Linked DNA regions of Neodiprion lecontei. The protein of the gene in region 2 purifies or fractionates together with the protein of the main gene of each other region. This does not show direct contact. Links are inferred from orthologs where the notes say so. Each region holds a gene or a part of one and is shown on either strand. Other genes may lie near its edges.

Region 1 (4,354 bases), about 25 Mb from region 2:
CAAGGTAACTAACATCGGACTGCTCTCAGGCGTTACTGTGTCGATAGGGACAATGCCAAGCGGCAAACTCTGTTCCTGTTCCTTCGAAAACGATTTCCTTGGTGTCTCTTTAACTTTTCGATATTCCTCTCGATTTTTATTCTCATCTGCATCCTGAATTTCGTCACTTTGCCCTGGCAATTTACTGTGGTAGCTAGGATCAGGTTTTTTTTTCGCCGAAAAGGTCTTCGCTTGTAACCTAGTTAACTTTACAGGGGTTTCGATTAGAACCAGCCAATTTTCAGTCAACGTGTTGTCTGCCACAGCCAATACCCGTTTTTTTCTATCCGTTACGTTACGCTGCTGCGGTTTTAATTCCGCCACGGATGTTCCGCTAATGTTGTCATTCATTTCTTTCCGCAACCTCGACCTTAATGGACGATTTGCTATCTCCGGCTCTTGCAAAGTATTAACTTTGTCAAGTTTCAATTGTCCAATCGGCGACTCAGCCTTGTTCTCACTATCGGAATCGCTCGAGCTTTTTGTAGGCTTCCGTCTACGGCTTCCTGAAAGTTTTGTAAATCAGGTATGAAAGATATTCTCACTCGATATAAGAAATAAAGCTTCAGGCTGTCCAGCGAGTAAACAATTATTGAATTCTCTGAGATTCTCAGATCCTTTAATATGCTGGACATCCTGAACCGAACGTTGTGACAAGCGACAAATTCATCTTACTAGTCGACACAGCAGTGTTGCCTGCGTTCTCTGGCAAGGCACCTGCAACAGAACAGTAATATATTTAAATTATATAGGAAGAACGGTATTAATATTATAATCATGGAAAATAGGACAAACTTGTTTTCAAAATACTTTGATCTTAATCACAAAAGTTGTATGAGGATAATTTCTGATTGACTGATTTTCCTTTCCCCTTTTAATGCAAGATTAAATAAACAACAGTGCCAAGTTCGGTCACCCTGTTATCAAAAGTTGGACAATCATATGATGAGATACAGTTGTACAAGATAAAACACTGAAGGAAAGTAAGACGTTTATTTGTACTTTTTCGATTGCGTCCCGATGCGGTTGACGGTGTTTTCATAGTCTTTGAGGAGGTGTTCGACATCGCCGCCGGCAAAGCTTCCGCATTCTCGTTGTCATCGTCGATAAGTGTCCGCTGATCTGAAATTTTAACGGAGACGATCCATTGGTTAGGGATGGCGAGGAACTCTTTCCATTTCTCGCCGTCCGATTTGAGAGGGCAATCTAACGGCGCGTGTTAATATTGACATGCTTATTGCTTACGCTTTCGAGTGAGGCGTTGGAATTGTCGTTGGGGTGCCGGCATGCCGCTCTCGTCGCTGCTGTGCTTCCTCTTCCGCACCATGTTTACCTTTCCAGAACCACAGGAACGTCGTAGACAGCGTTGAACCGATCCGCGATAACCGACGACAATTTTCACTGACGGATCAGAATTATTTGACGGCTAATTAAAATCTGTCACCCGTCTCTTTTCCCGCTATCGTTGCTTGCTCCCGCTGTTTTGCCCGTTTTTGCACCGCCTTCGGCGTTGAATAACGCTTTTCTCGTTTCAAAGTTTGAAACCGTTGATCGGGGCGCTGCTGCCAGCTGCCTTGGCATGAACTCGATTCATTGCCTTAGAATAACGACTCACAAGTGTATCCAGGGACATGCGTGAAAACGCGCCATATTTTACAGTCGAAAACTTCTAACAAGTCACGATCCCAACTATCGACTCGTTCGCGGGGTGTTGAGTGAATTTCATGCCTTCACATACTCTTTGGCGTTCACTTCCTTACAATGTTTACTCCGTCGATAATTGCGGTATAGCACTGACTTTCAGGTGTACTTTGTCTTGCCGTTAAATAAGAATTGTAAATAAATTATAACCGCGTAATTTTCCACTTATAAAATGTTTAAGAGAAAATTAAAAGCGCTAGATTACATAGACCGGGATAAGATAAACGCGAATGGTGAGTCGCAACCGGTTAGCCGGTACACATACAAAAATTTAACCTCCGGTCTCTCACAAGAGCGATAACAATTTTTCTGAAATTTCAATAATATCGTCTTTAGACCCACAACACTTTCGCAAACTGGTCGTCTGGCTCGAAGACCAAAAGATACGTCACTACAAAATTGAAGATCGAAAGGACATCAGAGATATAAATTCAACCAGTTGGCCCGAAACGTTCAAGAGATATTGCGAGGACGTCGCTTGTCCGATAACTACCCAGCCCGTGGATCAGCTCGAATGGTTGATCGGGTTTGCCATCAAACTGGAGTTCGAGGATAACTGTAAGAACCGTACCATGTTTGTTTGGGTACTACTGAATTCTATTTTCAGGCACTTACGAAAATTTGAGTTTCATTCAATTCAAACTATTGCAGATAAAAAGTATCAACCGATAACAGGCAAGAGTTTGAAAGATATGAATAAACCGGTAGCACCCAACATAAAATCATCAAACCCGTTAGACAATCTGGACTGTGAGTATTATATTTCAGACAAAACTTTTTGAACTTACGAACATGACAAATACCGGTATTCACATTTTTTAATTCTATTTTCGATGATTAAAGTTCACAGTGCAGAGTTTAAGAACGGAATTGAAGAATTACGAAAGCTACTTTGCATTCCTCGACATTCAGATCACCTTGTAACTCTGCAAGCGTGCAGTAAGATAGTTTGCATGAGACTGAATGCAGAAACTTTATTAAATCCAAAATCGATAGTGTTAAAGGGAAAAGAGTTTCCGATATTGGAAGCTGAGTTGGGATTCAATATGGGAGATCCAGTTCTGAATAATGCGGCAAAAATCTTGAGATTGCTGTACATTCAGGATTTGAGGGACCTTCAAACACGAATAAATGAAACAATTGTCAGTGTTCAAAATATCACTGCAAATCCAAGGACTGATACGAAGCTTGGAAAAGTTGGAAGATAAACAGTTAGTCATTACGATTCCCATTGCACATTTACACACACGAATGGGATGTTAAAAATTTTGCTGACGTTCATTGGCTAATATTGTTTGATAACAATAATTGATATCAATTTCTAACAATGAACCAAGTACTGCTATTTATAGACAAATTGATTCGTCATATGTTAGGCGTATTTGAATAATGGAATGTAACGATAGGTCAAAACTAATAAATAATTATAATATACAATCGCATTACATTCGTTGATTGTCTTTTTTCACTTGCTTGTATTGATATCGAATGAATTTAGATGTGAGGAATTCTTTGAAACCTAAGTTTAATGGATAAGAATATAACTCAGATTTCACAATATGTTTATAATAAATATTTATTGTATGGATAAGAGTAGAGGAAAATTTGCAAGTAAAGAACTTTTTACTCGTTTCATAACACAGTTTCTTCTTTTTTGTGTTACAATAAAGCTGGTAGTAACTATTTATCATGACGAATGTACAGAGGCAGTTTGGAACGTGATTTTTCGCAATGTGTATATAGATTATTTTTAAATTATTTACAAAAAATTGCGTAATTAATTAATCACTAGACAGCGATCAGAAGTCTTAATTTGTTACATCATTGCGATTATAACTAGACTTGGTGAAATAGAATTCATGATTGGATAGAATAACTAATAAGGATATGTTTATGTATAATAGTTGAGGAGACTTGATTTAAAATTTAAAGTGAATGTAAACGACTTAAGAGCAACTGACGAAAAAAAAGCTTATATGAAAGATACATAGTTCAATATTTCTTTCAAATTCTCATATATTTAGATTTATAAAACTAAAGCTTAATTTAATGTGAAAAAAGACAGAAATTCAGTTTCCTCCCGTAATAGGCTCAATTATAGAATAGGATTTTGAAAACGTCCAGTTTTTTGATCATCCATAGCTCGTAAGAACCCGCCTACTAATTGATATTTGATGCCTAATTCTAGAAAAGATTTAAAAAAAAAAAAAAAAAAAAAAACGCATCTTCAGCAGTTGACAAGTAATTCTACCAGGATTTCAACACGTCTGTTCTTCGTTGCCGTCACCGTTATATCGTGTTTATAAATTATAAAAGAACTAAGAGAGCCTGCATCTGCCTTTGTTCCCGAGTGGAATCTCTTCCTCTTGACAAGACTCGATCCTCCCGGTATTTTCTTCATCTTGAAGAGAGGCTTGTAAGGCCCTGGCCAAGGCTTCGTCCTCGCTGATAGTTCCTTGAAGATTCGTAAACAGGCTAGAATTGGCATTTTGATTATTCTGTGGGACTTGACTCTCGGCCTGTTTGTTAAGAGCTTCAACCCTCCGCTGACGCATGGTTTCCTCTTTTCCCACACAAGCGTGATCGCAGGGATGCCGGTGTTTCAAGCAAAAGT
Region 2 (4,835 bases):
TGCAGAGTGGACCTCAAATTTCAGAGCAAAGTACCGATTAACTGATATTTCTTAACTTGGGTTGACCACAAAATACTTTTTAACACAGCTGCCGAAGGAATGATCAACGATATTTTTTAATGATTCCATGTGAATATTTTGGTTCAGGTTAAATGGGAAATAAAATATTGTGTGATGAAATACAGAGATGAAGGTAATGCATTAACAATCTCACGAAGTCTTACTTTGCGGGGTTTACAGGATTCATGAGACAGCGATTCTGTACCATTTACTCTCTCTGAAGCTGCGCGGGAACTGTGCTGTCTCTATTTATAAAGATTCTAAATGCTTGAAAACACCATTCCCATTTCCAAAACCAAATCTCATTCGATGCCTCAAAACCAACATAGGATTCACTCAGTGGTAATTCCAAAACGCTATGTGCCGTATGTTGTTGAAACCGTAAGCATATTACAAAACGCGATTTCGAGCAAACGTGATGAACAAATTCACTATGAATCAGGATGAAATGCAGCACAAAAAAATTGATACAAGCTTTGCACCTGTAAAGAACCAACCTTAACAACCATGAGGCGTCTGATCAAACATAAAGAACCGCAAACTAAATAAAATTAACAAAAGAGATCTCACGAAATAGCAAAATATAAATTTAACGATTTAAGTTTAACTCGAATTTTAATCTGGCACGTTATAACATCTATTTTAGACGTTGCCGTTTTTTTTTTTCTCGCAACTGTCTTAATAGTGCTGTCCACCTCGACCTCTTCCGCGATTAGAATTCCCTCGTTGATAGCCACTTGTACCTCGGTCTCCGCCCCATCCTCCTTGCACTCTACCTCTTCCACCGCCTCTGTGATACTCTCCACCTCCTTGATTATGACCACGGTAATCACCACGACTTTCATACTGTGGTTGCTGTTGCTGATATTGCTGCTGCGATTGAAACCTGTCTTGGTTTTGGCCAAAATTTTTCGAAGCATCTTTGTGGTCCCGATATCCACCGCCACCGCCACCGCCACCTCCGCCTCTGCCTCCTCTGAAAAATATTTTGAAACGATATTCAATTGATGTGCTTAAACAAGTATCACGAAGTCACAGAACCCCAATCCATGAACAAAAATACTGTGAGATCGCGTTTTACCTGGACGAATTCGGCCCAGCAACGCGGTCTTTTTGCCAAGATGGCATTTCGGGTGGAGGTGGTTGCTGGTCGCAAGGTCTTCCTCCACGATCTGGCACTGCCCCAATAATGACTTGGTTGACTTGGCTCCTGGTATTTTTTCGTACAGTAGCATTGCTGGTCTTTTCAACTATGGCTAAATCTCGTCTTGCGGCAAGTAAATCAGCAATACAAACACTTGGCTCGGGAGACATGATATTCCGTTTTTGTTGGTAGGATGCGTTGACCTGATCTTCCTTTGACCTTATATTCTCTGACCACTGTAAAATTAAGATTGTTATTAGTTTATTCCAAAATAAGATAATTTCATCAAATTTACTAGAATTTTGTGAGACGTTATTTAATGCTTTACCAAAAAAGATTGCACCGTGACATCCAATCTTTTGAGTAACATTTCCCTTCTGGTTTTATACTCGTTCTTGAATTCTTCTTGGAGTTCATTCAGCCGTTCCCATTGGTCGTTCGATAGCTCGCCCACAAATAAAGGCGTATCGAGTAGATCAGGGGGAGCCTGAGCCACAACTTCCTTCAACTTAGTAGTTAGTTTTGTGAACAGCATTTGTGCGCTTATGTTATCTGGAGGTTTTTGAAACTTCAATGCCAACAACATGTTTTTGAGATGTCTGGCTGTGTCGCTTTCGTTCTGAAAGTAAAAATAAAGAATGGCAACATGACAGTTATCCAATTAAGACGGAGCAGAATTCACTATCGATAGATTCAACTAGACATTGATAACAATTACAACACTTACAATTGTTACTTCCATCTGTTGATCCGCGTCAGATTTAAATGATCCTAATATCTTGCTGGTCATCAGCTCGGTTACCAGATAATCTAGTAAAACGAGTCTGTCGTACTTTGTACTCAGTCTCTGATTCACAGTACCGCCAATGAGGTTTTGATTCGCGCATCCTAATTCCTTGAGAAATGAACTTAATTCGAGCAGAAAATGGCTCGAATCTTCTGGCGTGGTTATAGCGTTTACGGAGTCATCCACCTCTCCAAATGCAGACAATTCTTCTGCCAGCCACGCCACCAGCTTAGTGAACTCCACTGACTTTGGGCCGTCTTTCAAAGCTTTGGACAACTCATTCGCGTCAGATAGAGCCCCGCTATACCTGCGGAATCAAGCACAAAATTTAAGTAGATCTTTTACGCGAGTTCAAAATCCTCTTTACAAACTTGCTGATTATCTTACAAATAACATTGTGAACGTTACTTTAATTCGGAGCTTCAAGTTTGGGTATCTTTTTCGGCTATATGATTATCCAATAATTTTTTTATAATATTGAACATCCTCATAACTTCGAACATATTAGGCTGATTTTCTGAGGAAACTCAGTAGCTTTGTTTCCTTACTCAAAAAAGTAGCCTAAAATATTGCACATGTGAAGTTAGTAATCGGCAATGCTTTGCATCAGCCGGTAACTGGTGTAACCTATAAAACTTGCCCACATACCCAACGTCTTGCAGATTCTGTAACAAATCGGTTTCCATTGGCACTGGCCGTTTGATTTAAACGGAACTTTTAGGAGAAATGTTAATAAATCAATCGGTTTAAGTTCATGCGAGGAAAGTACAAAATTCCGTGTCCGCTGTCGGAACTGACGACTGTCGAATAAGCACACTGTGCAAAGCTGCTGTCGAGCTTTTCTAATCTCCAATGGACCCCGTTTTATGTTACATGCCATCCCCACCATTGAACAAATTCACGACATCGGAAATCCCTCGATTCGGTGAAATTAGAAATAGACTGAACTCGACGACTCGATAATACATGATTTTCAAATGGTATTATCTGCTAATCCAATCGAACGTTCTAGAAACAATCGAGCATCAACATGTGTATTTAATCATTTAATATTTAACGTTGGTAAACAGACATGTTGATGATGAGTTGTGAACAATATGGCATGGCTAAAAGATGTGACTTTATACATTAGTTTGTACTGAATACGTAGAAATAAAATTATTTCGTGTATCTTATAATAGCTCAAAGGAAAACAACGAAGAGAACAAAAATTCGGGGAAGTCTCAAATGGATAGTAGATGGATCAACTCGATAACGTTAAGACTTGAATTAAATATGGGTAACTATTCTGACAAAAGCAATAATAATTGGAAACAAATCGTAGAGTATTAATACAATCGATAATTCTGACGATCGAGAATCAGAATAATGCAAGCAAGTTTAGATCTCAATAAATGATTCCAATGTAACACAGAAATTCAAATGAAACTGTTTCTTTGAAGGACTACGATTATTTTTTAACTTGAAACTGCAAGAGGTTCGAACTCAGCTGATAGATTATCTGTTGCAACAACCTTTGCGTAGCATAATCAAGATAGCGCAAAGTTTAAGTTTATGTTTTTCATGCGACAACTCGCTAACTCGGAAATGAAATTAACCAGGATTTAACAGATAGTTTTATTGAAAAAAATCTAATGACCTAATTGTGTATAAAAAAATATAACTAGACATACATATATGCTCAAGATTCTTCTAGACTTTGATAGGCCACAAATAACATCTTAGTAAGATTGCTCTATTCATTGGCAGTATTAATTAAAGTTTCACGGTATACGAGATCAAAATCTTTAAGATTTTCCAAGGGTGGATTGTATTTGTGCCTTTCGCATTGAGATTCAGGAATTGGTAGCTGCATTCTAAGTTTTTCCGATTGCTGGATGAATTCTGTTATTTGGTCATCCAAATTTGGTACAACGGTGTTATCTTTAATCTCCCTGCTCGCATTGTTTATCGCGTCCTCGCAGGCCTTGAATCTTTTTTGAAGTTCGAGTTCTTGGCGTAAAGCGGCGTTGAACATTGTGACCTATCAAAAATCACCCTCGATTAAATGAAACAAAGGGTACAATTTAAATTTATAACGAGTATAGGTTTTCCAAGTGGTATTTTACATGGAAACATTTTCATGAAATTTATTCTGACCCCTTCGGCTCTCTTTTGGAGATTGTCCATCTTGGTCTTCAGTTCTTCGAATTCATCTTCGCTGACCTGAACAGCTTGACCTTTATCCTCGTCTAATAAAACGTTGTCAGGAATTGCAATGAATTGTCGTACAATGTTCTGCAAAACAATGTCAGGTTCACAGTACAATTGTCAACAATCGCGGATGAAGAGGTGGCGATAATCTAAGACCAAGATGACCTGGATTTTTAACGTTTGTTAAATTTCTTAGAAGATGAAACTAAAGACACTGTAGAGGAATAATTACATTCAATGATTCCATGTGAGATTCAGCTCTGTTTTCATAAGTCTGAACCAAATCCTTAGCCTCTGTTCTGAGAACAGAAAGCTCCTCACTGCCCAGTTTATATTTACTTTCAATGGATTTGCTCAGATTCTGACAGACCGACCGTACCTCTTCCTTTATTATATTCTTTACTGAAACGATTACAATGCCAATGTTTCAACACGTAGAAGCGAGCCTGACAAGCATAGGAATGTGAAAGATTTAGATCGCGCTGATAATAACAGTAAAAACAGACTTGAAAGGTCGCATAAGAGCCTGACGTTATCTGCCGTACGTGAAACGGAACATGAGTAGAAACAAGTTGTCGAAAAAGTATAACAGATTAGAAAAAGAAACTGGCGAGGAGACTGAACGGATCGCAATCAGAATGGAAATACAGA

Evidence for each region.
Region 1: the proteins of protein FAM98A (region 2) and RNA transcription, translation and transport factor protein purify together in Homo sapiens (affinity purification with mass spectrometry; 4 studies listed by BioGRID and IntAct, with this or other methods). This does not show direct contact. The link is inferred for Neodiprion lecontei from reciprocal best matches to the Homo sapiens genes FAM98A and RTRAF.

What each region holds. Positions count from the first base shown.
Region 1 is NC_060266.1:183,819-188,172, forward strand, and holds RNA transcription, translation and transport factor protein, read left to right. Parts: upstream 1-1,789; 5' UTR 1,790-1,912; coding exon 1,913-1,973; intron 1,974-2,076; coding exon 2,077-2,298; intron 2,299-2,391; coding exon 2,392-2,490; intron 2,491-2,583; coding exon 2,584-2,948; 3' UTR 2,949-3,696; downstream 3,697-4,354. Other genes in the region: probable serine/threonine-protein kinase nek3, read right to left, coding at 1-545, 715-756, 1,042-1,161, 1,285-1,366; AN1-type zinc finger protein 2A, read right to left, coding at 4,059-4,354. UniProt on the Homo sapiens protein: RNA-binding protein involved in modulation of mRNA transcription by Polymerase II. Component of the tRNA-splicing ligase complex and is required for tRNA ligation.
Region 2 is NC_060266.1:24,793,123-24,797,957, reverse strand, and holds protein FAM98A, read right to left. Parts: upstream 2,916-4,835; 5' UTR 2,678-2,915; coding exon 2,640-2,677; intron 2,299-2,639; coding exon 1,932-2,298; intron 1,824-1,931; coding exon 1,533-1,823; intron 1,441-1,532; coding exon 1,142-1,440; intron 1,037-1,141; coding exon 739-1,036; 3' UTR 688-738; downstream 1-687. Other genes in the region: protein MIS12 homolog, read right to left, coding at 3,727-4,014, 4,131-4,268, 4,417-4,586. UniProt on the Homo sapiens protein: Positively stimulates PRMT1-induced protein arginine methylation. Involved in skeletal homeostasis. Positively regulates lysosome peripheral distribution and ruffled border formation in osteoclasts.